Canis lupus familiaris: one gene and its partners. The protein of the gene in region 4 purifies or fractionates together with the protein of the main gene of each other region. This does not show direct contact. Links are inferred from orthologs where the notes say so. Each region holds a gene or a part of one and is shown on either strand. Other genes may lie near its edges. The genes, in order: VAPA, GNA13, GIPC1, ARHGEF12 and MYO6.

What was found.
Region 1: the proteins of ARHGEF12 (region 4) and VAPA purify together in Homo sapiens (affinity purification with mass spectrometry; 5 studies listed by BioGRID and IntAct, counting the BioPlex papers as one, with this or other methods). This does not show direct contact. The link is inferred for Canis lupus familiaris from reciprocal best matches to the Homo sapiens genes ARHGEF12 and VAPA.
Region 2: the proteins of ARHGEF12 (region 4) and GNA13 purify together in Homo sapiens (affinity purification with western blotting; 3 studies listed by BioGRID). This does not show direct contact. The link is inferred for Canis lupus familiaris from reciprocal best matches to the Homo sapiens genes ARHGEF12 and GNA13.
Region 3: the proteins of ARHGEF12 (region 4) and GIPC1 purify together in Homo sapiens (co-immunoprecipitation; 4 studies listed by BioGRID and IntAct, with this or other methods). This does not show direct contact. The link is inferred for Canis lupus familiaris from reciprocal best matches to the Homo sapiens genes ARHGEF12 and GIPC1.
Region 5: the proteins of ARHGEF12 (region 4) and MYO6 purify together in Homo sapiens (affinity purification with mass spectrometry; 4 studies listed by BioGRID and IntAct, counting the BioPlex papers as one, with this or other methods). This does not show direct contact. The link is inferred for Canis lupus familiaris from reciprocal best matches to the Homo sapiens genes ARHGEF12 and MYO6.

Annotation. Positions count from the first base shown.
Region 1 is NC_049228.1:75,968,977-75,972,489, forward strand, and holds part of VAPA (vesicle-associated membrane protein-associated protein A), read left to right. Parts: intron 1-2,331; coding exon 2,332-2,505; intron 2,506-3,513. UniProt on the Homo sapiens protein: Endoplasmic reticulum (ER)-anchored protein that mediates the formation of contact sites between the ER and endosomes via interaction with FFAT motif-containing proteins such as STARD3 or WDR44.
Region 2 is NC_049230.1:11,956,285-11,959,797, forward strand, and holds part of GNA13 (guanine nucleotide-binding protein subunit alpha-13), read right to left. Parts: intron 2,757-3,513; coding exon 2,184-2,756; 3' UTR 1-2,183. UniProt on the Homo sapiens protein: Guanine nucleotide-binding proteins (G proteins) are involved as modulators or transducers in various transmembrane signaling systems.
Region 3 is NC_049241.1:48,542,855-48,546,938, reverse strand, and holds the start of GIPC1 (PDZ domain-containing protein GIPC1), read right to left. Parts: upstream 2,808-4,084; 5' UTR 2,714-2,807; intron 2,210-2,713; 5' UTR 2,155-2,209; intron 512-2,154; exon of another isoform or gene 463-511; 5' UTR 369-462; intron 1-368. UniProt on the Homo sapiens protein: May be involved in G protein-linked signaling.
Region 4 is NC_049226.1:13,691,371-13,695,333, forward strand, and holds the start of ARHGEF12 (rho guanine nucleotide exchange factor 12), read right to left. Parts: upstream 2,814-3,963; 5' UTR 2,633-2,813; coding exon 2,601-2,632; intron 1-2,600. UniProt on the Homo sapiens protein: May play a role in the regulation of RhoA GTPase by guanine nucleotide-binding alpha-12 (GNA12) and alpha-13 (GNA13). Acts as guanine nucleotide exchange factor (GEF) for RhoA GTPase and may act as GTPase-activating protein (GAP) for GNA12 and GNA13.
Region 5 is NC_049233.1:37,584,704-37,588,809, reverse strand, and holds the start of MYO6 (unconventional myosin-VI), read right to left. Parts: upstream 2,804-4,106; 5' UTR 2,626-2,803; exon of another isoform or gene 2,586-2,625; intron 1-2,585. UniProt on the Homo sapiens protein: Myosins are actin-based motor molecules with ATPase activity. Unconventional myosins serve in intracellular movements. Myosin 6 is a reverse-direction motor protein that moves towards the minus-end of actin filaments.

The DNA of each region.
Region 1 (3,513 bases), on a different chromosome or scaffold from region 4:
ACTCATCAAATGTCTAAAAAGAGTGAGCTGTTTAAGTAATTTTACTTAGACAAAGAGTATTTAATGAAATATTGTGTCACTTAAAATGATGAAAAGATGTACATATAAATAAAGATAAAAGTGTTACAGTGTATGCTGGTTTTATAAAATGTGTATAGGAGAAAATACTGAAAGATAATACATAAATAATAGTTGGGTTGCATTGATGAGATTAGTAGTTTCCTCTCCCTCCCTCTCATAATTATAGATTTTCTGGAATTTCAAGAATTAATTTAAAAATAAAAACCCAGTTGTGAAGAGTTTGATGATTCCTCACTTTAATTTTTTTCTCTTCACTTGTTGGCTTCATGTATCTCTTCTTAATTTTTTAGTCAACTCTCTTGTATATTTTTTTCCCAATTCTTTTTTTTTTTTTTTTATTCATCTGCATATTCATGCAGAGACAGAGAGAGAGAGAGAGGCAGAGACACAAGCAGAGGGAGAAGCAGGCTCCACGCAGAGAGCCTGACATGGGACTCGATCCAGGGTCTCCAGGATCACACCCTGGGCTGCAGGCGGCACTAAACCGCTGTGCCACTGGGGCTGCCCTTTTTCCCAATTCTTAATCAGAACCTGAAGATTCCTTAGTTGCCAAATTGTTGACTGTTGCTTTCATCTTTATAGAGGAAGGCAGTGAGCTGCTTTTTTTTTCTCAATTTGGACTTCTTCTAGGTTAGAATTGGAGCACACTTGAAAAATCATTTTGAAATGAATTTTAATTACTGTTAAGAGGAGGATTAAGAAATATTATTGGTGGAGAGCAATATATATCTGGAATAGATTTTTACTAATAGAGATGGACTTGGTCGGGACAGGGGAAGATAAGGTGAAGAAGAAGAAAGCTAGCAAGAGGGGGAAACTCTTTTTGTATTGTAAAAGAGGATGAAATCGGAAGTAGGTTTCTTAAAAACCCTTCATTCACAGCTGAGAAGCTTCTGAAGAAAAATGGAAAAATCTGCATGTTAACAGTCAAATACATAGTGTACATTAGAACCTTACTATAACATTATTGGTTTTCCATGAGTGTAGGCATATTAACATATGGTTTTACATGAGTTTAGGCATAGTGATCAAATCACATTCCCTTCATAAGAAATAATAGTTTGCCCCTTGAACTAATACAAACTTAATATAAATTTGGGACTTGGGATGGTGTGGTAGATGTGTAATCAATCTATAATTCAATCTTATTATTGAGTATTGTGGAATTTCATAAAGTTGATTTTGGAAATGTTTTTGTTAGAAGTTATATCTGAATAAGGCACTTTTAAAAAACATCTGACATTAGATTTCTAGCAAGTAAAATTTTAGTTAAAAAGATGACTTGTTGCACTAAACTGTAATGGTGTATGTGATAGTATAGATGACATTAGGGTAAAGGATATTGAAGAACTTTAGACCACAGGCCCTGGGACACTTAGACACTGCTCTAGATATTTGTCTATATTGGATGAGTGTTGGTAAGAATCACAGTTTTAGAGCTTATAGTTTTAAACGTGTCTTAAGTACTACTATGATTCCATATTGAATTTCATTAATTAAAGTGTACAGTGTCAGTAATAATTTGAAAGAATTAATTTATGTTTGAGTTTAAGAGCATGGGATTAACTCCCTTCTCTTTTTTTTAAACCATGATATAGTTTGTGTTCATTATCTTCCCTTCTGTGTTTATATCCTTGTTATTTTTTCCCACTAATAGAAGTTAGGTTTTCTTTAAGTGTTTTTCTTAGGTGGTCTCCTTATTTCATTGGAATTATTATGATAATATCACCCCTACCCTTCAGAATCTCATTTGAATTGCAGAATCAGAGTACCGAAAATGACCTTCATATTTGGATTTTGGTTGGCGTCAGTCATTCAGCATACTTACATTGAATAACTACTCTTGGCCAAAGTGCTGGGTTTAGGGGTAAATACAAAAAGAAATGACTCTTGCTCTCCCAGTCTTTGAAGTATTATAGGAAAGAACATCAAAAATACGTTATTATGATATATGATAAGTGCTGTGGTGGAGGTAAGTGTGAAGGGTTTTGGGAGTAGAGGAGGGAGTGGGCTGCTTATTTTGACTTCTGTTACTGCTGACCTTTATTCATTTAGTCCTAAAATTGTTCATGAATGACTGTAACCTTTGGTATTTTAAAAAATTCTGATTAACTAAATCACAACCTTAAAAATTTCCATTTAAGTGATTTTTTTTTTTTTGGAAAAGGTATGGAGTTTCAATTTGCATTTGTTAAAAATCTGTAAGGAGTTTTGGTCAGTTAAAAAAGTGTCACTATCTTTATAATACAGAATGATCTGGAACCTAGCAAAACTGTTCCACTGAATGCCTCTAAGCAAGATGGACCCATGCCAAAACCACATAGTGTTTCACTCAACGATACTGAAACAAGGAAACTCATGGAAGAATGTAAAAGACTTCAGGGAGAAATGATGAAACTATCAGAAGAAAACCGACATCTGAGAGTAAGTTGTTTTTGAAAATAAGTTAATTTAAATGAAAGCTTAGGATATGTGAATATTATTAGGCCACGTTATCCATCAGTTTTTAAATTTATCCTTGGTCAGTTCTTTCTCTTTTTCCCCAATTTGATTATGTCTTAGCCTTTGCTCCCCACTCTTGCCTCTTTTCATAGTTTTACCAAGGCTTCTCATTGCTTGCAAGTTCCTTTCCTAGTAGGTGCCCTAGTTATTTGTGATCTGGCCTGTGGCATTGCTGGCTTCCTCTCTTGTTTGTAACATCCTTCACATTTGATGCCCTGGTCATATGAATTGCTTGAAATGGTGCTGTCCCGTATATAGTAGGGATGTATGTGGCTGTTGAGCACTTGCAATGTGGTTAGTTTGAAGTGAGATGTGTTGTGAGTATGATAACTCATTGATTTCTTAGACTTAGTACCAAAAAAAAAATCTTTTTTTTTGTATTGTTACATACTGAAGTAATATTTTGGTTATATTGGATTGAGTTTTATTATTAAAATTAATTTTATTATTTTCTTTTTACCGTCTTAATGTGCTATTAGAAATTTAAAAGTATGTAGGTGGCTCACATTTGAAGCTTATATTTATATTGGACAGTGTTGGACTACAGTACCCTGAAGATGCCTCTCTGTCAGTGATCTCTTTTTTACTTTAGCTTGAATTCCTTCTTCTGATTGGATCACCCTGAAATCACATTCCTACCCTTAAAAGCACATTCACGCATGCATGGTTCTCTTTTGGTACTTGGTTCTTGTCATCTTTTCAGTATAACTTTTTCTAGGAATCTCTCCTCCCAGAAGCAAAGAAGTATGGTTTTGGAATGCTATCTCCTTTGTTTCCATGAAACCTTCGTCATCTCACTGTACCTGTTTGTTAAAGGTTTTTCTCCCTCCAGTGGGCGCTAGCTCTTTGGGAGCAAGGACCTGTGTTCATTCATCTTTGCATTCATAGCACATGCATATAGTAGTCATTCATATATTCGAATGAATAAAT
Region 2 (3,513 bases), on a different chromosome or scaffold from region 4:
GTTAAGAAAGTTGCAAATACCCAAAATCATACCATATCTATTTGGTGTTGTAACATTTCTTGGTGGTAGTCTTGGTGATTGCTGCTTTGTCAGGCAAGATTTATGGTTCATATCACAGATCTTAAATATAATTTAAATAAGACCAAGTTTGCTCTTTGTACAGGGAACTTACTTTAGCCTTCACTGAAGTTCAATGGTTTGGGCCATTCAACTAAACTATTTGCGAAATTTACACAAAGACTCTCCAGCAAAAAGTCCCAATGTTACTGTGCGCATATTCAGACATTCACTAGCACTGAAGTTATTCTAATTCTGTGAATTTAAACACTATATTCTTTTTGGCAAGAAGCACTGGATGTAGAACTATTCAAACATGCACGAACTGTATACTATGAAGACTTGAATTATGATGCAGGGCTACGTGTCTGTAGCTCGTGTATGACCAAGGCATGAAAACACTGAAAGTTACTATGGATAAAATGATGGTGGAATTTCAAATGCAAGAAAAGTCAAGAACAGTTACGAACAATCCCTGGTTAGCTCACTTTAAAGTCCTACTGTCACACTAGACTGCAGACCCACCAAGAGCCACCATCTTGGAAAGGCTGCATGATCCATAATGTTGACCAATCTTTCAAGGACTTTCTAGCCAACAGAATACCTGAGAACACAGCTCTACAGTAAAGTGACAGGTATCACAGTCTTAATCACAATTTTCAGGAAAAGGAGAAAAGCTGTCAGATTTTCCAAACTGTCACCAGCCTTGGGCATTTGCCTCTCTAGCCCTGGTCTAACACCACACACAACCTACAAGGCAGTATTTTCAGTACTGCAAACCAGTCCCCTCTGATGAGTTCACCATGACCACATCTGAGATCACAAAGCTGCTGCAAGGGTATACTTTCATTTCATACGTGGTGAGGTCAAATGCAATCATATTTCGGTGTGACCTAAAAAAATTACTGCTTATTCTTAGAAGTATCCCCAAAACATTCAAAATGTACCTCAATAAAGCTAGAATTTCATAAGCAATAATGATATGAACATGTAGGTGTATGTTTTAGAGACACACCAAGAATGAACACAAATCTCAAACAATGCCTTCTTGAGTCATCTGACAGGAAAACATTGACCTTGGCAAGCTCCAAATAAAAACTCCCATATATGCCACAGTTGGAGTTGATGGGAATAAACAGGAGAGCAAAAGAAAGATGTTCTGTGATGGTACAACAGTGATTCTCTGCAGTGAGGACCCGAATCTTCCAAGACAGGACATACAAGTCTGAGCATAAAGCACGTAACATCCTGGAAACAGTATGTTTATTTAGAAAGCTCTGTTATCAAGTTACTTGCAATTTTTATAGCTGCTGCTATGGCCAGAATGTTTCACATATGGCACATTTATTATATGATATTTAAATATGAAAAGGGCACACTATATTTCACTCATTACTTTGCATCAAAACACTCTGTACGGCATTGGCTCCCTCTTGCTCCCCTCCCTCAGCCCCGTACCATTTGTGAACTTCCATTAGCATCAGACCAGGAATCCTTATGTAAACTTTAAAACACTAAGAACATTACCTTCAGAAACCACAGAAATTTTAAAACTAAACAACTGTCGCTATATAAGCAATTAAAAAAAACACGAAGGCTAAATCTGTGTAAAGCTACAGAATGCCAGTCCTTAGATCAAACTTTTTTTCCAATAGCCCTTTCAAAACAGGTCACCGTAAAGCGAGGCACAAGTGTCGCTGCCGTGCACAGGACAGAAAAAAGGGACCTTGCTTGTGTCAGAACCGAATATTCTTAACCTCATACCAAGAAAGATTCGAAGACACCTTCCATACTTGGCACTACAGAATTCAGTTTGAGAAGTGGAAAAAGCTAAAGCCTGAACTCTATCTAGTCAGAGGCTTGGCAGGAAACTAGAACCCCCTCAAAGGGAAGCCACAGTGAAACAGATCAAAGACTGAACATCGACAGGTATCAGCGATTGTTACTCAGCAGCTTTCAGCCAGCCACAAACCAAAGTCTGCAGGAGGAGGACTAAGATTTCCAAGAAGCTAAACTTAGAATCAAGATTTTTCTCATTCCTGTTGTAAACTGCTATTTCCAAAAACAAAACAAACAGAACACAATCAAGAGGACAAAAGGGATTAAAATGGCCAGTCTTCTGTCCATCACTGTAGCATGAGCTGCTTGAGGTTGTCGTGAAGAATGGTGTCCTTCACGTCACGGAACACGAGGCGGATATTCTCTGTGTTGATGGCAGTGGTGAAGTGGTGGTACAAGGGCTTCTGCTGCTGGTCCCGGCGTTTGTTCCGGAAACATTCCACCAGGAATTTTTGGACGTCTCTTAAGCAGTGGGGATCCCCTTCAAATTCTAAGAAATAGTCTTTGATGCTCACAATTTGCACTTTCTCCTCAAGCAAATCTGTCTTGTTTAAGAAGAGAATTATGGAGACATTGCTGAAAACCCGGTTATTGACGATTGTTTCAAAAATGTTCAGAGATTCTGTAAGGCGATTGGTCAGTCGGTCTTCCATAAGCACCTGGTCAAATTCACTTGAGGAAACAAGGAAAAGTATTGATGTCACGCTGTCGAAGCATTCAAACCATCGTTTTCTCTCTGATCTTTGACCACCCACATCAACCATTTTGAAAGGAACATTTTTAATTTCAAAGTCATACTCATGAATGCCTTTGGTGGGTCTTCTGGCAAGCAGAATATCTTGTTGCGATGGAATGTAATCCTGGAAAAGAAAAAAACTGCTTTACACTCAGTAACCCAGAAGTAATTAACGTTTCCGATGAACTACTAACTGGTTGAATGACTGGATATGCAAATAGCTTATCTTTAATTTTTTAAAAAATATTTTAAAAATTTATTCATGAGAAAGAGAGAGCACACACACATGTGTGGGCATGAGCAAAGGGAGGGGCCGAGGGACAAGCAGACTCCCTGCTGAGCGGAGGGCCAGGGATGCGGGGCCTGACCCCAGGACCCTGAGATCAGAGATCATGACCTGAGCAGAAGTCAGATGCTAAGCTGACTGAGACACCCAGGCGCCACACCAACTTATCTTTTTAATAACTTCTGGCTGCATTAAAGCATCAGTACACTATTATTCTCATTACAAAATGCAAAGATACATTAAAATGTTGGGGTACGAAGACTCGTTCAAAATTCTATGTTTTCCACTCCTGCAGTATCTTCAGACTGAAGTCTTAACTCTCGGGTGTCCCATTGTCCTGCCTACTGTCGTGTCTCTACCCCTAATATTACTCCTCACTGACCCACCCTCTGCTCCGGCCAGAGTGACCCAGGGCTTCCTACTCATTCCTCCAACCTGCTTCTTATCTCTCTGTGAAAAGCAAGGAGGGCTGAAGCGCCAATTCGTGAAGGCCACCTCCCGGCGCACAGTTCTGGCTACCTCTCTCTAGCTCTTTCTAAACACCCCTTTCCTGTGCCCTACCTCCACGACTAAAAACTCCCACAATGGTCACTCC
Region 3 (4,084 bases), on a different chromosome or scaffold from region 4:
TGGGAATTGTTTACATATTTGGGATACTAGTCTTTTATTGATTACTTCATCTAACCATAGCACACATCACACTAAGCATTCACCTAATATCTGATAAAAAACAAATTCTGAATGAATAAACCCATACTGCCCCCTCAGATTATTACAACACACTCAGTGATGCTTCAAACCAAACCAAACCAAACCCCTCATCATCACCTCCCCTGTTCTCCTCCTGCTGCCCCTCATACATCTTAGCGGGATGCTGAGAACATGAGTCTGGAACCTGGTTTCTCCACTTATTAGCTGTGTGACCTTGGGCAAGTATCTTAACTTCTCTGAGCTCCAAGGAGGGTGGCCTGGGTTCAAATCCCATCCTTGCCACTTACCAGCTGCGTGGTCGTGGGCAAGTGTCACTTCATGTGATGGAGCCTCAGTTTTCTCAGTCGAAAAATGGGTGGAATTCCTGTCTCTCTCCAGGTGCTTATGGGAATCCAAAGAGATTGTGCAGACAACCCGATTAGCATTTTGCCTGACATTCAATTTAAGAAAACTGTTACTAGTATTGTCATTATTATTATGGCCTCCTCCCCTGCCCACCCCACCCCCCCCCCCCCCACCGCCCAGGAACATCCCAGTCTGTGCTTCTGCTGTCTGCTGTCCGCGGAGGCCTAGTCTAGGTGGCCTCCTCCAGGCAGCCTCCCTGGCTTGCCCCAGCCTGCTGGAACTGCCCCTGTGGTCCAGACAGCTCAAGGCCCATGAACTTAATTACACATTATCCCGGCAGAACTCTTGTCTTTCAGTCCCAGGCTGCTATTTCACTTCGTGTCTCTATTTTAAAATGTAAACCAGATCACGTCACTCCCCGGCTTCCAATCTTACAGCGGTCTCCTACCTTTACAGAGGAAAAGCCCCAAACTCCTTAATATGAGCCACAGGCCCCTGCAGAACTGCCACTCTGGCGGCAGCTCGTGCCCCCACACACTATCCCAAGCTCCATCCAGCCTCAGAGTTTTTGCCCAGGCTGGGCCCCCTGCCTGACCTTTGCTGGGCCACCTTCTTTCTGTCATTTAGATCTTGTCTCCAAAGTCGCCTCCTCCAAAAGCCACCCCCTTTACCACAGATTCCACCCGGCCACCCCCCTCATATTTTATTCATAGCACACGCACTTACTACCATCCGCGGGTACTGTCTTTATCTACTTGTTAACTTGCTTGCTGCCCTTTTCCCCACTAGGACGGCGGCTCCCACAGAGCAGGGATTTTTGTCTTGTTTGCTATTATGCCCTCTGTGCCAAGGACAGTGCTTGGCCCATGGGAGGTGCTCAGTAAATGTTTGCAGAATGGACGGGTGTGCGTGCCTCGTGTCCTCATTCAGACTCCTCTCTGAGCCCTCCTATCCTCAGAACATGCCTGCTGTGGGGTTGCTAACTGACACTTCCTCCCCACATTCCCAGTGTCCCCTCAAACCTGAACATAGGGATGGTGGAAAAAGTGTCAGCCGGGGGTCCAAGCGCATTGGCTGGAATCCTAGCATCCCCACCCTCGCTTCCCTGGGAGGGGCCTGAAACTTAGCAACCCCACCACCAAGCAGAATCACAGTGAGGGCAGCAGGAAGTGGGGAGGGGAGTTCCTGGGAGTTGACAAAAGCTTGGGTGGGGGGAGAGACACCACACCCAACCTCCCCTTTCTAGTAGGATACTGCTTTGGAGGGGAGGGCGGGAGGCGGGAGGCAGGGAGGCGGGAGGCCTCTGATTCAGTCTTGAAAAACCGGCTCCCGGGTGTTTCCGGGGAGAACGCCTACTGCCTGGGCCTCAGCGCAGGCTTTCCAGAGGGGCCCAGTGGGCAAAGGACCCCAGCATCCAGGCCTCCTATGTCCCCTGCAGATGTCACTCTCTTCTTAGGACCTAGGTATTCAGGCAAGCCTTCCCAGGTCCGGGGAGGCAAGACAGGGTTGGTGTCCGGGGACCTCTTGGGGGGAAGCAAAGACCAGCAGGTGTGGCCCAGATACATGCATGGTTGGGGGATGCAGGCAGCAGCGGGCAGAGGAGCTGGTCGGGAACACCTGAGCCACGGAGCCACTGGGCCACTGATCCATGGAGCCATCTAGTCTAGCGGCTGAGACTCCAGTTCTGGACTCCGAAGCACGGGTTCGAGTTCCAGCCCTGCCACTTACTAGCTGTGTCACCTTGGGCAAGTCACTCCACTTCTCCGGGTCTGTTGCTTCACCTCTAAAAGAAGTAACAGCACCTTCCATGAGGTGTTTGGACGCAACGATGTGCATGGTAAATACCTGACACGGAAGCGTCCAGTCAGTGCTAGCCGGGGGTGATTTTTTCATGATTATTACCGGGACCTCAGTCCTCTCCAGGTCCCTCTCTCGGCCCTGGAGGGCCGCGTCGAGGCCAAGGTGGGACGAGGGAGGTGCCCGGGCAGGACTCAGAAATGCCGAGCCCGCCGGGACGGGGCTGTCCAGGGCAGTGCAGGGGGCAGGGTGGGCTGCCGACCCCATCTCAGAGGCGGGAGGTGTTTGACCCCGGCCCCCGGCGGGAAGATGGGCGCCTCCGGGGGAAGGGGCCTCAGGCATCCTGGGGCCCAACCTAGACCTCCAGCAGCGACCCCGGGGCCGTCCCCCCGCTACTCGCTCGATCCGCCGGATCCCCATGGGTCCGCGACCCCGCGGGCCCGCGCTGGGGTCCCCGGAGCGGCCGTGCCCCGCCCGCAGGGACACTCACCTGCGCCGCCGCCGCCGCCACCCGCGCGCTCCGGGCTCGGCCCTCCGCAAACTCCGGCCCGGGCCTCTCCCGCAGCCGCGGCCGGGGGGCGGGGCCAGCGCCCGCAGCGCGCCAATCAGGAGCGGCCGCCCGACGCCCGTGGCCAATCCGCGCCGCGCCGCCCAGCGCCGGGTGGGCCCGACGGAAGCATTCCAGAGGGATCCCTCCGCCTCGCCCGGCTCCTCCCGGCCCCCCCGCGCCGCGGCGCAGTGGACCTGCCCACCCTGCCGAAAGCCGCGGCAGGCTGTACCACCGCAGGGCGCGGAGGGGGGACCTGAGGCTGGGCCCCTGCCAATCGCGGGGAAGGAAGGAGGCGAGCAACCAATGGGGAGCTGGGGTCCCTGGCCCACGTGCTGCCGGCGGAGTGTCCGTCTGGGGTGTCCAGGGTGGTAAGGAGCGGGAGGGCCGGTCGTGGGAGTCAGGTGACGCGGGCCGAGTTTCGGGCAGAGGCTAACTCGCCACGTCCGGAAGAGCTGACCCTTTAGGAGACCTAGGAAGGGGCCGAGGGCAGCCCCCGATCCCAGTCCTCCTCCCTGTCTGCGCCTGCCCCAGCCTGGCCATCCTGTGAGCGGATAAAAAGGATGCATTCATTCCGGGCGGGCGAGCGGGCGGAGGAGCGAGATGAATAGGGAGGGTCCCGAGTGTCCCTGCTTCCTGGGGTGTACAATGGACAAGGGCATTTATTCATTCATTCATTCATTCCCTCACTCGTCAAATATTTCATGTGCCCCTGCTCCGTGCCAGGCTCTGTCCTACGTCTGCAGCTACTAAAGCGAATAAGCTGAATGTGCTTCTGGTGGAGGTAACAGCTCGTGCAGAAGGCCTGAAAGCTGGACTGAGAGATACAACACATTTTGGGAGAGTGCAATATCCTAGGAGCTAGCAAAACTGTGTGAAAGGGTGCATGGAAGGAAGACAAGATCGAGATGGACTGCTCGCTTGTTGGTTAAATCAGTGAATATTTACTGAACACATAATATGTGCTAGGTTGTAAAGGGTCCCCAACCATTCCGAGCCTCTGCCCTTTCATGAGGCTGTCTCCTCCATCTAAGTGCCCCCTCACCCCTGCTGGGGTCCTGAGACTGGCAGTGAGCAGCCTCTCAGAGCACTTGTGTGAATGAGAGGACCAGGTGACCTCGCCATCACCAGGTTTGGTGAGGCCCCGAGACTGGGATGTCTCAGGCAAGGGTAGGTCCAAGAAACAAAGACACAGATGCACCTTGTACAGACCAGGATGCTCAGTTCCCAGGACAGATGAGCTATCCTTGCTCTACTTCAAAGCCAGCCTCTGGGGCAGTTGGGGCTGGACCAGGAGCTTGCTGTGTGTTCTGG
Region 4 (3,963 bases):
AGCCTAAACATAGCTGAATTCCATCCCAGCCCCAGCACGTCCCTAACACAAGAATAAAACCCTTCTTATCTTGTTCAGCCATGTGTCGCCTGCCACAAACTGCAAAACAGAACAACGCCCAAAACCAGCTAGTCTGATTTCAAATGAGGACAGACAGACTCTGTAGTCAGAAGCACCACAATGAAAGAACTCTAACTCACACAGCTGGCCTGGTGGGTCTGCACACTCTACCAAACAAAGCCATACCACATACAGTACTTCAAACTTGAAAGGATCTTTAAAAAGCTACACTGGCACTGTTAATTTGCCAATAGCTCTAGAATCAGCAAAATACACCTACAGTACACTGGAATTAGACAGTGAGAAACAAGAATGGGGTAGACATAGCAGAGAAGCAGCTAAGAACTACTCTGTACCCATAACTTTGTTAAGGTACCCTGGGAAAAAAAATAACACTAAACTGGCGCGCTTCTGGATTTCACCCCAACATATATTTAAATCAGGGACAACTACTCTCCTAGCCAGCAAATGGATGCTTGATATCTACAGAGTAAGATGTGTTTAAAGAAAATGTAATAGTCACCTAAGAATAATCTTGTTAAAAAAAAAAAAAACTAGTAGCAAATTTCTAAGATACGGGTATCCACAATGTCTTGGCAATGCATTCTAAATTAAGTGGTTTTTAAAGGTGTTTTTCTTTTTTAAAATGTAACATCAGCCAACACCTGAACTTATTCAAGGACATCAATACCCAAACCAATTTGCAGATTCATCTTATACTTAGAATACTCGTCTTTTAATCTTTTGTGCTTAGCACGGGGCCTGGCAAAGGACATCCACTGACTACATATTTATTGTATATCTGTATCTCATCTAACTTATTAAAAAAAAAAAAAAGTCCCAAGATTTAATTTCAAGATAATAGAAAAAGGAAAAAAATCTCTGAGAAGCAGAGAGGAAGGTTATTAAGTGGGCACTATTATTAAGTGGTTCTCATGTGAAATGAGCTAGTGACCCTTGGTTCTGTTTCTACAAAATTAAGCACCCCTAGTACCACAGTAAAAACTACTAATACTACATTAGTCCCTAATAAGACTTCTTGTCTAAAGGCTCATACAGAGGCCAAGAAGTGAATGAACCAGGAAAATAAAAACACAACGTGATTTCTCAGTAGCAAAACACCCTGAAAGGAAAAGGGATGGGGATGATCGAAAGAAATTAAAGATAAGCACTGCTGCTACTTGTTGTTACGGGTACAATCAGAAAAGTTGAAAACTAAAATTAATTTTAAAAAAATACGCAACGAATATAGTTTAAATATTTAATGGAATCTTTTAGGTGAACATTCACGTGACACTGGAAAGCATCAACAGGAAGAGGAAGTTCTGTTTCTGGAGTAGCTGTTATGGTATGATAATGGAATTTGGCCCTTTTAAAATCAACAAATGAGTCTGACCATTGGGTGAAACTCTGTATTAGGAAACTCCACATTTTCTGCAAGAGCACTATTGTTGCACTTTTCATCAAAGTGCTTTGTTTTGCCCCCCTAATTCAGTTATTTGATCTTTTTTTTTTTTTTTTTAAATGATGTAATAGTCTGAATACGGACTTAAAAAAAACAAAAAAAAGACTGGCTGAAATTTGGAACCAGGATACAAGGTCATAATGAAATTGAGAAATAAAATACAGTAAAAGGAATTTACTGTTTAAACCAATATTCCAAAGAATAACCCCTAAGAGTAAAGAAGCTCCACTTAAAACCACATAGCCTGAGCTCAATTCACCAACCACCAGGCAACACAGATCAGCAGCAGAAAGGACTCACAGAACTCAGCACATCCACCTGCCATGCTTCTAACTACCTAATTCGCTTAGGGTTTGTATCTCTTGAATGCAAAAGCTTCTGGGAGATGAAATACGAAAAATGCAACAATTAAAATCAAACCCCATGACTCTCCCTCGCCCCCCCCCACCTGTTTTTTTTTTTTTTTTAAGCTCCATCAGGAGCCTGAGATCTACTAGTAATTTCAACATTCTGGAAAATGATTAGATAATAAACACTACGCAGCTCAATATTCAAAGAAGAGCCAGCTCAAAAATCATCCTGCAGCCGTCTCAGGACGAAGTCCACAGACGGCAATTCCTAGAACCTAAACACGGCGTCTGGGGGGACCACGGCGGGGGGGGGGGGGGGGGGCAGGAGGAAGACCGATAGGTGATGCACCAATACCCCCGGCCGAGGTCGGGCGCTGACCTTCACCCCAAATGACCTTCCCCTGGGTTCCAAGAGAAGTGCCGGATCCCAGTGCACGCGCGCCCCAGAGAGCGCCGCGACCGTGGCGTGCACCTACCCCATCCGCGGACAAATCTGGAGAAAAGTTTCTCTCCAAAAAAAAAAAAAAAAAGAAGCAGCAGCAGCTACATTTCCAAACTCGATCGAGTGGGTAAGTTGGCAGCAGCCCCAGACTAACTGCGGAGCTCCAGGGCGCGCGTCCCTGCTCTGCCTGTCAGCGGCGCCGGGCAGGGCGGTCGGGGGCGGTCGGGGGCGGTCGGGGGCCGTGGGCTCGCCGGGCCGGGCGGGCCGGGCGCCGCGTACCCACCTGTCGGTGATAGTGGGCTGTGTGCCGCTCATTGGGGCCCGTGGCGAGAGGTCCTCCTTCTATCCAACTTGCATGGTACGGAACACCTCCGCCCCACCCCCCGTGCCCTGGGACCAGGCCCGACTCCGCAGGCGACGCCGCAGTCCGGCTCAAGACTCCATGCAGTCATCGAGGACGTCCGGCGGGAAGGGGTCGGGGAGAGGGAGCAGGTCGGGGCGGCGGGCGGCGGCGGGCGGGCCGTCTATCTGGGGCTGCCCGCCGCTCGTGGCCACCGCGCCGGCCGCGGCTCGGGCCGCCCTGCGCCGGGCTCGCGCCGCTCCATGCCCCCGGCCCGGGGGCCGCTGCCGTCGTCCTCGCCGCCTGGGGCTCCGGGGCAGGGCTCCCGCGGCCGGAGGGGACGGGAAGCCGGTGTCTCAGCGCCGCGGGCTGCTCCCCATCCCCGGGAGGCCCGGACTCTTCCGCAGTCGGCGCGGGCGGCGGGCGGCGGGCGGCGGGCGGCGGGCGGCGGCGGCGGCTCCTCCCCGACGCGCCGGTAGGCGGCCGTTCCCGCGAGGGGCGGGAGGTTCCCGTCCGGTCCGGCCTCGAGAGCGGCGGCGGCGGCTGAGGCGGCGGAGGCGGCGGCGGCTGAGGCGGCGGCGGCGGCGGCCACTCGGCGCGCGGGGCCGGGTCGCGGGGTCGCGGAGCTCTCGCGGGAGCGCGCGCGGCGGGCGGAGGAGGCCGCGGGGGGGGGCGGAGGGGGGCGCACGACGGCCGCGGGCGCGCGCGCGGGTTCCGGTTCCGGTTCTGTCTTTCCCGGCCCCGGCCGCGTCCAGCGCGAGCGAGCTCTTCCCCTCCCCCGCCGCCGACTCTCTTTTTTTTTTTTTTTTTTTTTTTTTTTTTGGCCTCCTCCCCTCTGACTTCGGGAAGCCGCCTCACCCGGGATCCCTCCGCGGCGCGCGGGGCCGCCCCGCCGCCCGCCGCCCTCGTCTCCCCCGCGCCTTGCGGAGCGCGCCAGGGCCGCGCGGACGCCTCCGCCGGAAAAGTAGTTCTGCGGGGCGGAGGGAGGCGGGGGCCGGCCGGGCGCGGAGGCCCACCCCCCCCCCCCCCCCCGCCGCTCGTCGGCCCCGGGCCCGCGGGGAGCTGCGCGCCGGAGTCTGGCTGCCCCCGGAGACGCCGCCGGAGAGCGCTCGCCCGGCCCCCGGTCCCCAGGGGCCCGGACGGGAGGCTCCTCGGGCATTACCCGGCCCCCTTACCCTGCAAACCTTTATTCCTTAATGCGCTGTACTTGTCGTGACTTTCTGATAGCTCGTAAAGAACGGTGACGGCTGGAAGCGAAGGACGCTGTCGGGCACCTGGACCTGCAGGGAGAGGGTTTGGCCTCGGA
Region 5 (4,106 bases), on a different chromosome or scaffold from region 4:
CGTGGTCAGAAGACTTAGGTGTGAATCCAGACTTTGTTCCTCTGGAGCTGTAAGACCTTGAGCAAATATTTAATTCTCTAAGCTTAAATTTCCTCATGTGTAAAAGGACAAGACCACCAACCTTGAAAATTATTTTGTAGATTAAATCTCTCAGTGTTCTGATTATACCAGATTCCTATATGGTATAGGAATTATACCAATTCCATCCAGTGGGTGGGTGATGATCTTATACTACCAAAGGGCCAGTTCAGGGGCACCCGGATGGCTCAGTTGGGTAAGTGTCTGCCTTTGGCTCAGGTCATGATCCCAAGTTTCTGGGATAGAGCCCCCGCATCTGGGAATCTGCTTCTCCGTCTCTCTCTGCCCCTTGTGTGCTTGCTCTCTCATTTTCTCTCAAATAAATAAATAAAAATCTTTTTTTAATTAATTCATTAATTTTAAAAAATGAGGGCCAGTTCAGAATTATTATGAAGTACATCATTAAAGGGATCACAAACTGTATGAGAGTTAGCAAAGCAGTAATACCATTTTTAGTCTTTTACTGAAAATGTTTTCATATACAAACATGAAAATTTCACAGAGGTCAGAAATCTTTTTAAAACTGACATTTTTAAATATCAAAATGAAGCTTCAATTATCAACAGTGAAAACTGGTTAATTTTCTAAAAAATGTTTTGGGTGCTTAGATTTATCCAAACCTCACAAAGCAAAAAAATTTAAAACTTTCTTAAAAGAGCTGTACTTTAGAACCCAGAGACAGCCCAGTTATCTAAACAATGGGCTACATGATACACCACAGTCTCCAGGCAAAGTCACAACAGGATGAGAAAAGAGCCTTCAGCCTCTCTCAGATTTCCTGGCCACTGTTATTTTAAAACTTGATCACATAAACATAAACAGAGGGAAAAAATCCACTTCAGATAAGCGCCATGGGTTATGACTTATGATCTGTTCTTAATACATCATATTAATTTACATTAAATATTACAATAATGCATTACACTTTTCTTGTTCATGCTTCTGGACTAATGAAGAATACGTGTATTACAGTTTTACATAATATGTATTTAGAGTTTTTAATCCTGTAATCTCTTTCTAAAGTTCTTTTACTTCTTTTTAAAATTACCTTTTGAAAACGAAAAGGTAACTCAAACTGGGAGAACAATGTCACATAGAACACACAAACGCAATAGGCAAATCTGCCTAAGACTAAAATGACTTGTTTACCACTGTGTGTATAATTCCTGCGCAATTTAAAATACTCAACATGAGCTGTATATTTAAAAGTCAATGAGTTACTTTGAATGGCTGCATTGTTTCAAGCTCTGGCTATAGCCCAATGTGTAATGTTTCTAAAATTAATGATAAAAAATACCAAGGTAATTTTTTCACGAAGCAATTTCCAAATATAAAACCACAACCCAAGGTATCTATGAAGTTTAGTTAATTTGTACAGATATGCTGTTTTCCTGCCAACCTTTGCACCATGACCATTCCAGCCCAAGTTCAAGATTCACATTTCATGGTGTGAAGAGTTTCAACTAAACCTTAAGAATTTTTAAAACTTTCACACCCTGACGATACTCAGATACTTTGCATCTACACCACCAGAGCATAACAGCAAATGAAACTTTTATTTAGCACGTACAGCAATCTGTGAAGTTGCGGCAGTGCTCCTAGCTGCTCACTAGTATCTGTAGATTAGGATGCATACATTCCTCCACTACAACTTTATGCCCCATAAAACGTAACCTGTCTCCTTAAACACTACAGAAATAGTATTTCCGACACGGATGTGCCAGTAATAACCCTACCAAATTACTTCCTACTTAAAATCCCGGGGTTGGGGATCCCTGGGTGGCTCAGCGGTTTAGCGCCTGCCTTCGGCCCGGATCGAGTCCCGGGATCGAGTCCCGCATCGGGCTCCCGGCGTGGAGCCTGCTTCTCCCTCTGCCTCTCTCTCTCTCTCTCTGTCTCTCTCTCTCATGAATAAATAAGTAAAATCTTAAAAAAAAACATCCCGGGGTTGGAGCATCTGAATGGTTTTAAGGAGTTTTTGGAAATTAACAAATATAAAAAGCTCTTGTTCGGTAGCACAAATGTCCATTAACATACTCAAAGTACTGGACCACCTAAGGACTAAAATTATCCCGTTCAGACGGTCCCACCCGGTCTTCTACATGACTAGACTATCAATTCGACAGTGGCCGGCACCTGATACGAAGGTATCTCCGAGCAGGCGGCACTGTTCCTGCGCTGGATTTCAAGCTTGTTTACTCAAGAGAAAGAACTACCACGGGGCGTCCACGTCCGGGTGGGGCACCGGAGTGCTCTGCTACCCGGGGGCAGGGAAGGGACCCACAGGTAGCCTGCTGACGACAGACCCGTGAAAACCAGAACCAGCCCCGCACCGCCGTGAGCCGCCGGCCGGGCCCAGCCGGCACCTGCCTCACCGCGCGCATCCCGGGCGGAGACCCGGCCGTCAGCCCCGGCGGCGGAGGCCCGAAGCAGCGCGGCCCGGGGACGCGAGGCCCGGACGCCGACGCCGACGCCGACGCCCCGAGGAGCGGCCCCGCGCCACTCACCGGGGTGGCCGCGAGCGCAGGTGCGCGGAGGCGAGGCTACCTGTGGCCGGCGAGGTGGAGGGCGGGGTGAAAGGTAACCAAGTCGAGCGCGAAGGGCGACTGCGTGGACAGGCTCGGAGACGCGGCGGCGGCGGCGGCGGCGACCGCGGTCCTGCGAGCTTCCTGCTCGGACAGATCCCGGGGCCGTCTCCGCCCGCCGGCCGGCGCCCCGCCGAGTCCCCGGCCCCGGCGCGCGCACGTCACGGCTACGGAGCGCCCAAGGGGGCGGGGGCGCCGCGGGCCGGGGCGGGGCGGGCCGGGGCGGGGCGGGCCGGGGCGGCCGGGCACGGGGGGCGCAGGCGCGCGCTCCCCGAGGGGGCGCTGGGCGCCCGCAGCCCCCCGCCCCGCCCCGCCCCGCCCCGCCCCGCCGCGCCGCTCGCCCCCGCCCCCGCCCCCGCCCCGCGGCGCGCAGCCTCCCGGGCGGAGGTGGGCGCGCTGGAGCGCGGGAAGGGGCCGCGGCGGGCCCGGCCGGCAGCCTCGTTCCTCCCCCTGCGGCACGGCCTTCCTCGCCGCGGTTGTCTCCAGCCCGGGTGCGGAGACCGTGGAGTCCGGCAACAGCAAGAACCAGTTCACGGAGGGAGAAAGGTGTTCAGACGCGGCCAGGACCACGCGCTTTACTCGAGGGCGTTGTTGCGGAGGGAAGAACCGCTGCTAACTAGGCTCCGGTCCGGGTCGGCTTGGGCTGCGCTGGGCTGGGCTGGGCTGAGCTACGCTGGGCTGAGCTACGCTGGGCTGGGGTGGGCTGCACTGGGATGCGCTGGGGTGTGCTGGGCGCTGGGCTGCGCTGGGCTGTGCTGGGCTGAGCTGGGCTGCGAGGCGCTGGGCTGTACTGGGATGCGCTGGTGTGTGCTGGGCGCTGGGCTGTGCTGGGCTGTGCTGGGCACTGAGCTGCGCTGGGCTGCGCTGGGCTGGGCTACGCTGGGCTGGGGTGGGCTGAGCTGGGCTGCGCTGGTGTGGGCTGAGCTGGGCTGCGCTGAGCTGGGAGGCGCTGGGCTGGGCTATGCTGGGCTGCGCTCCGCTGAGCTGGGCTGCTCTGGGCTGCGCTGGGCTGGGCTACGCTGGGCTGCGCTGGTGTGGGCTGAGCTGGGCTGCGCTGAGCTGGGAGGCGCTGGGCTGGGCTATGCTGGGCTGCGCTCCGCTGAGCTGGGCTGCTCTGGGCTGCGCTGGGCTGGGCTACGCTGGGCTGCGCTGGGGTGGGCTGAGCTGGGCTGGGAGGCGCTGGCCTACGCTGGGCTGAGCTGGGCTGCGCTGAGCTGGGCTGCGCCGCGACAGGAGCAGTCTTGCTCTCTGCTTTGGGTGGCAGAGGGTCTGAGATGGAAATTTTGTATTCCTCCGGCCCCCGAATCCCCATTTACTGACTAGAACCCGATCTTCTCTTTTACTGTTTTTATAAGTGACATACCTGTAAATCCTCTTTGAAAATTAAATATGAAGTGGCTATGCAAAATTGAATTATATGATGAAAACATACGTCGCCTTTAC